Anolis sagrei: one gene and its partner. The protein of the gene in region 2 interacts with the protein of the main gene of each other region in a pairwise test. Links are inferred from orthologs where the notes say so. Each region holds a gene or a part of one and is shown on either strand. Other genes may lie near its edges.

Region 1 (3,928 bases), on a different chromosome or scaffold from region 2:
TATTTCTATTATTACTATTATTATTAGATACATAACAAGATTAGTACACAGCAAACAAGATCACTGTGCAAGGTTTTGTATTCTATTCCTATTATAATTATTATTACTATTATCATTAGATACATAACAAGATTCGTACACAGCAAACAAGATCACTATGCTGGCTTTTGTATTCTATTATTATTATTGTTATTATTATTATTAGATATATAACAAAATTAGTACACAGCAAACAAGATCACTATGCTGAGTTTTGTATTCTATTACTATTGTTATTATTACTACTATTATTATTAGATACGTAACAAGATTAGTACACAGCAAATAAGATCACTATGCTGGCTTTTGTATTTTATTACTATTGTTATTATTACTATTATTATTAGATACGTAATAAGATCACTATGCTGAGTTTTGTATTCTATTACTATTGTTATTGTTACTATTATTATTAGATACGTAAGAAGATTAGTACACAGCAAATAAGATCACTGTGCAGGGTTTGTATTCTAGTACTATTGTTATTATTACTATTATTATTAGATACGTAACAAGATTAGTACACAGCAAACAAGATCATTATGCTGGCTTTTTTATTCTATTAGTATTATTATTATTATTACTACTATAATTATTAGATACATAACAAGATTAGTACCCAGTAAATAAAATCACTATGCTGAGTTTTGTATTCTATTAGTATTATTATTATTACTACTACTATTATTATTAGATACATAACAAGATTAGTACCCAGTAAATAAGATCACTATGCTGGCTTTTGTAGTCTATTACTATTATTATTAGATGCATAGCAAGACTAGTACACACTACACAGCAAACAAGATCACTATGCTGACTTTTGTATTCTATTACTATTATTACTATTATTATTAGATACATATACATATTCTATTATTATTATTTTACTGACACAAAAACAAAGTATGGCACAGGAAACGAGAGATATGTGCTGGGTTTCGTATCCCAAAATCACAAGTGGAACACTTCTCTTGTGATTTTGTTTGATTATTATTGTTATATTATTATGATTATTATTATGATTATTATGATTATTGCCACTTCCTGTTCCTGGAGTGAAGTTGCTCCCAGAGAAGGCACCTTAGGAGACCAACAACCCAAAGGTCATGTGGATGGATGCGCTGCCTTGCCTAGAAAGTTTCCCTCTTTCCTCTTGGAAGGATCACACTGAAAGTTTCCAGCCTGCTCGGCTCCTCTCCCCATTCATTCCCAGGAACTTGAGCGCGCCTTCCTTCCTTCCTTCTTTCCTTCCCTCTTTCAGGCTTAATGCTATTATTGTTGTTATTATTATTTTGACAAACAGAGAGGAGGGGGGAAAGACATTAAGTCCAAATCTGCCTGAGATCTCTTTGCTTCTGGGTTTGGAGCAGATTAATTCCAGGGAAGGCGGAGAAGGGAGGGGAGGAAGGAGAGAAGACAGGAGCCGGGGAAAGGGAAGAAGGGAGGTGGGAGAGAGGGATAGAGAGAGAGAGATCAGAGTCGGAGCTGATGCTCCTTCGGATCCCGGCTCGGAGAGGCATCCCTGCTACCAAGTAGAGGACTTGGGCACTTGGTGGAAAGGAGAAGAAGGAGAAGGAGAGGAAGAAGGGCAACCAAACCCCCAACGCGGATCAGCAACAATCTGACAAGAGCGGCACGCCGGGTGGGGAAAGCGAGCCAAAGTGCCGAGATCTCCTCCTCCTCTTCCTTGTTGTTGTTGTTGTGGTTGTGGTTCCACTGGCAAGGTTGTCTCTACAGAGGGAAAGTTGCACTTTGGAGCAGCAATCCCCGCACCGTTTGGGAGCCACGCGCGCAACCAACGCACCGAAAACCCGACAATTGATTCCCGGGGAGAAAAAACAGAAATGCAAGCACTCACCTTTCAAACTCCGGAGGTAAATCGGGGTCGGTTAACATGCTGGAGAAGGGAACAAAAAAGAGAGAGAGAGAGAGGACGCACTATTTCTTCTCTCTCTCTTCTTCCCTTCCTTTGTCGCCGAGGAAGGAATCGCCTCCAACTGAACCTGTCAAGTGGAGCCAAACCTCCTAAACCGATTGATTTTTTTTCTCCCCCCTCTGGCTCCAGCTCTCTCTCTCTCTCTCTCTCTTGTCCTCGCTCTCTCTCTCTCTCTTTCTCTCTCTCTCTCTCCCTCTCTGAGCTAGGACTCCTTGACCAGTCTCTTAAAGGGGCAGCGCACTTTAGCTGGAGGAGCCCGGCTCCAGCAAGCTCCCCCCACCGCTGCGCCACATGGTTGTCCTCCGCCGCTCGCCTCTGTCCCCCTCTTCCTCCTCCTCCTCCAAACCAGAAAGAAAGGAGAGCCTTGCAAAGTCAGCCCCTTTCCTCCTCCCCTCCCCACACACCTCCAACCATCCTCACCATCACCAACATCCTCATCATCATCACAACACAGGCACATACACACACTCTCTCCCTCGCTCTCCACTCCTTCTCAAGGCGCAAAGCTGGCTAGTTAGTGGCAAGGCAACTCTCTCAGCCCCTGGCCGCATTCATCCCATCTGAAAAACTGGGTTGCTGTAAGTTTTTCGAGCTATATGGCCATGGTCTAGAGCAGTGTTTCTCAACATGGGGGTCGGGACCCCTGGGGGGGGGTCGTGAGGGGGTGTCAGAGGGGTCCCCGAAGACCATCAGAATATACAATATTTTCTGTTGGTCATGGGGGTTCTGTGTGGGAAGTTTGGCCTAATTCTATCATTGGTGGGGTTCAGAATGCTCTTTGATTGTAGGTGAACTATAAATCCCAGCAACTACAACTCCCAAATGTCAAGGTCTATTTTCCCCAAACTCCACCAGAGTCCACATTTGGACATATTTAGTGTTCATGCCAAGTTTGGTCCAGATTGATCATTGTTTGAGTCCACAGTGCTCTCTGGATTTAGGTGAACTACAACTCCCAAACTTAAGGTCAATGCCCACCAAGCCATTCTAGCATTTTCTGTTGGTCATGGGATTTCTGTGTGGCCATGTCTGATTCAATTCCATCATTGGTGGAGTTCAGAAAGCTCTCTGATTGTAGGCAAACTATAAATCCCAGCAACTACAACTCCCAAATGACAACAACATCAATCTCCTCCAACTCCACCAGTATTCAAATTTGGGCGTATTGGGTATTTGTGCCAAATTTGGTCCAGTGAATGAAAATCCATCCTGCATATCAGATATTTACATTACAAATTATAACAGTAGCGAAATTACAGTTATGAAGTAGCAACAAACATAATGTTATGGTTGAGGGTCACCACAATATGAGGGCCTGTATTAAGTGGTCGCGACATTAGGTAGGTTGAGAACCACTGGTCTAGAGGCATTCTCTCCTGACGTTTCGCCTGCATCTATGGCAAGCATCCTCAGAGGAGAGAATGCCTCTAGACCATGACCATATAGCCCGAAAAAACCTACAACAACCCAATAATAAACTGTATTTGATACCCCACCACCATCCCTGGCCAAATTCATCCCATCTTAATAATAATAATAATATAATAAACTTTATTTATACCCCCGCTACCGTCTACCCAAGATACTCAGGGCGACTTACATGAGCCCGATCCCAAAGTACATCATGAGTAAAAGCAATAGAAAACAATCAATACAACAGTTAAAATAAATCTCATACACAAAAGTAAACAATAACAACAAGCATTTAAAACCTATGGCCGGGCCAAATGCAATAATTTAAAATTTAAAAAATAATGCTGGACATGGACAAGGTAGGATATAACTGGGATAGAGTTTTTAGGTAGAGATATGGGGCACACAGACAATCCTAAGTGCATTTAGGGACATATTGCTAAGAGTTTTCCATATTCTGGGAAGGCACACTGGAACAACCACGTTTTCAGGCTCCTCCTAAAGACTGCCAGAGTTGGGGCATGACTGATGTCCCTG
Region 2 (3,928 bases):
CAAACCGCCAACCTTTCAGTCAGCACATTCAGAAGCTCAGCAGTTTAACCTGCTGCACCACCAGGGAGTCCAATATTATAATACTAGCTGTCCCCTGCCACACGTTGCTGTGGCCCAGTCTGTGTAGATGTGCTTTGTGTGTGTTTAAGTGTGTATATGTATGTGTGTATATTTGTGTATATACGTGTGTTTGCGTGTATATATATATATATATATATATATATATATATATATGGTTTTTCACATGCGTTGTAATGTATTTTTTATTTTTTGGCTTTTTAAGTCTCTTCTGCTGTGTTTTTCAGTGCTTTTATGAGTGATGGTCACTTGTTGGCCTGATACGTGTATTGTGCCCAAATTTGGTGTCAGTTCGTCCAGTGGTTTTTGAGTTATGTTAATCCCACAAATGAACATTACATTTTTATTTATATAGATATAATATAATTATATATTAAATATAATTATATAATATTATATAATTATAATTATATAATTATAATTACTATAGTTAATTGTATTGCATAATTATATTATATTATATATAATTCTATATTCTATAATTATAATTCTACTATAATATTATCTATATAAATAAAAATGTAATGTTCGTTTGTGATACCATCAGAACTCAAAAACCACTGGGGGAATTGACACCAAATTTGGACACAAGACACCTAACAACCCAATGTATGTCCTCCACTAAAAAAAAAAAGATTTTGTCATTTGGGAATTGTCGTTGCTAGGATTTATAGTTTACCTACAATCAAAGAGCATTCTGAACTCCACCAATGATGGAATTGGGCCAAACTTAGCACACAGTTCTCCCATGACCAACAGAAAAAACTGGAAGGGTTTGGTGGACATTGATCTTGAGTTTGGGAATTGTAGTTCACCCACATCCAGAGAGCACTGTGGACTCAAACAATGATGGATCTGGACCAAACTTGGCACAAATATTCCATATGCCCAAATATGAACACAGATGGAGTTTAAGGGAAATTGAACTTGACATTTGGGAGTTGTAGTTGCTAGGATTTATAGTTCACCTACAATCAAAGAGCATTCTGAACTCCACCAATGATGGAATTGAACCAAACATGGCATACAGGACTTCCATGACCAACAGAACACACTGGAAGGGTTTCGTGGGCATTGACCTTGAGTTTGGGAGTTGTAGTTCACCTACATCCAGAGAGCACTGTGGACTCAAACAATGATGGATCTGGACCAAACTTGACACAAAAATTCCATATGCCCAAATATGAACACAGATGGAGTTTGGAGGAAATAGAACTTGACATTTGGGATTTGTAGTTACTAGGATTTATAGTTCACTACAATTAAAGAGAATTCTGAAACCCACAAACGACAGAAATGGGACAAACTTCCCACATAGAACCCCCATGACCAACAGAAAATACTTAAGGTCATCCAGTCCAACTCTCTTCAACAGGGCAAGAAAATGTAATCAGAGCCCTCCTGACGAAGAGCCATCCAGTCATAAATATAGATAGATAGATATGATTCTCACACACACACACAGATATAGTATCATAGATTTGAAAGAGACCCTTAAAGAAGGACTATGATATGTTGCATATTCCAGAGTAGGCAAAACAGACACTCTCCACATCAACACTGACAAAGAAACAACAAAAAATACTGTTCACTCACAAGCCTAAAGAAATTACATATATTAGAAACCAACACTTTATAATTACTTTATTTTCCAGATCACCAGACTGGGCCACAGCAATGCATGGCAGGGGACAGCTAGTAATATAATAATAATGTAATACAATTATTATATAGAATACGCTGCGCAGTGTGCAGAGGAATTTGTTGGATTTTGTTTTGTTTTGTTTTCCAAATCATAGTACGGTCCCCCAACAGCCTTGAAGGACAGCAAACCAGTCCTCAGTTTAAAGTGTTTGAGAACGTCTGATTTAAGATCTGCCCTCTGCAAACCCACAGGTTGGCCTTTCATAGACACGGCAATTGGTTTCTCAAACGTGCAAGAAATGCATTCAGGGACGTACGTACTCTGCTTGAAACCCAGGTGAGGCACCCTCTCAATGGGCGTGTGCCGGTCCTTCATAAACCTGTAGAGGTTGACCAGGAACGTCTGCTCCTCTTCCTTCTCGCTGGAAGGCAGCATCTCGTCTCCCGATTCCTCGGCCAGACTCTTCTGCTCAGCTTCGGCTGCCTGTTCCGGCTTGGAAGTGGGAGATTCCTGCAGGAAAAACAACCCAATGCAATCACCAATTACATTCTGGAAATTAAACAGTTGCAATGCAAGTACAAGTATTATTACATTATTGTTGAAGGCTTTCATGGCTGGAATCATCTGACATGGTGGTTGTTAGTGTGGTCCAGCATTTCTGTGTTCTCAAATAATATGCTGTGTCCAGGCTGGTTCATCAGGTGCTCTGCTATGGCTGACTTCTTTGGTCAGACTACACAGAGAAGCCTTTGAAATCCACAAGCATGTGGACAATTTCAACAGAAAGGAAGAGACCATGAAAATGAACAAAATCTGGCTACCAGTATTAAAAATACTCTAAAATTACAACAGCAAAACAGCAGAGAGGAAACAACCAGGCACATCTTAACACCTCTCATCAAAAGATTTTCCCAAGCTCAGCCAGGCCTTCAAATGCTAATGAAGGTGGTCAGTTGAAACATTCACACCTAGCTCCAGCAGAGAAGAGCTCTTTGCCCCACCCCAGCCATTCCACAGATATATAAACCCATTTTCCTAGTTCCAACAGACCTCACTACCTCTGAGGATGCTTGCCATAGATGCAGGCGAAACGTCAGGAGAAATGCCTCTAGAACATGGCCCTATAGCCCGAAAAAACCCACAAGAACTTATTATTACATTATGTTACTCTCTTTATTCTTATTGGAAGGATACATAAGCACATTTACATTGAAGAAGGTTAGAATCAGAGTGGGACACTCTTATCTTAAATTACAGTGTTATGTAAATATTCAAAAACATTTAACATTCTGATGCCTCAATTAATGTAATTTTATTGGTATCTGTTTTTATTTTGAAACTGACCAATAGCTGCTGTATTTCCCACCCTAGGCTTATACTCGAGTCAATACATTGTCCCAGTTTTTGTGGTAAATTTATGTGCCTCGGTTTATATTCGGGTCGGCTTATACTCGAATATATATGGTATATAGGTATTGAGCAGATCAATAGGTATCGCTTCTGCGGGAAGGTAACGGTGACCATGCAGTCATGCTGTTGTAGTTCAGCGTGATGGTAACGTTGCTACTACTGGTAGGAGGGAGAAGCGGGCTGCGCAGGTGTTGGAAGAGGAGCAGCAGCGAAAGCAGATTAGAGAGATAATCATGGCCCCGAGTGATTCTGAAACCTTTGAGGGCTTCTCCGACTGTAAAATGGGGGATCGGGAGGAAAGCAGGGGAGTCAAGCGGGTTACTCACGATCCAGAGTCTGATGAGGAAACTCAAAGGAAGCGCATCCGTGATATACTTAACGCTCCTACAGAGGACAAGGACTTCATGGGCTTTGAAGGGAGGGATGGGTCTGGGAGTGACATGGGGGAGGAGGATGGGCTCGATTGGATCCGTGTACAGGAGATTAGGGATATCTGTACCCAACCCACCTCCAGCGATGACTTTGAGGGGTTTACAGAGGAACGCCAACCGGGGAGCACTTGGCAAGATCTAAGTCTTGACAGACGCTGGCAGAGGTGGAGGGATGGGCATTCGGGTTCAGCTGCAGAGAATGGGGCAGCTGAGAGCGATGATGAAAGAGTGGGGAGCACCTCATCTTCTGATGAGGAACTTTAGGATAAAAGTGGGTATTGTTTGCATGGATTTTTGCAGAAGGCAAAGTCTCTTTTGGGGTGTGAATCTTTGTTACTGCCAATTCTCGAGCTTGGGTCCTTGG

What was found.
Region 1: the proteins of ARID5A (region 2) and SOX5 interact in a two-hybrid assay, tested with the Homo sapiens proteins (2 studies listed by BioGRID and IntAct). The two-hybrid records come from large-scale screens. The link is inferred for Anolis sagrei from reciprocal best matches to the Homo sapiens genes ARID5A and SOX5.

The regions. Positions count from the first base shown.
Region 1 is NC_090025.1:185,153,656-185,157,583, reverse strand, and holds the start of SOX5 (transcription factor SOX-5), read right to left. Parts: upstream 2,314-3,928; 5' UTR 1,939-2,313; coding exon 1,901-1,938; intron 1-1,900.
Region 2 is NC_090027.1:23,191,381-23,195,308, reverse strand, and holds the start of ARID5A (AT-rich interactive domain-containing protein 5A), read right to left. Parts: upstream 2,228-3,928; 5' UTR 2,159-2,227; coding exon 2,044-2,158; intron 1-2,043. UniProt on the Homo sapiens protein: DNA-binding protein that may regulate transcription and act as a repressor by binding to AT-rich stretches in the promoter region of target genes.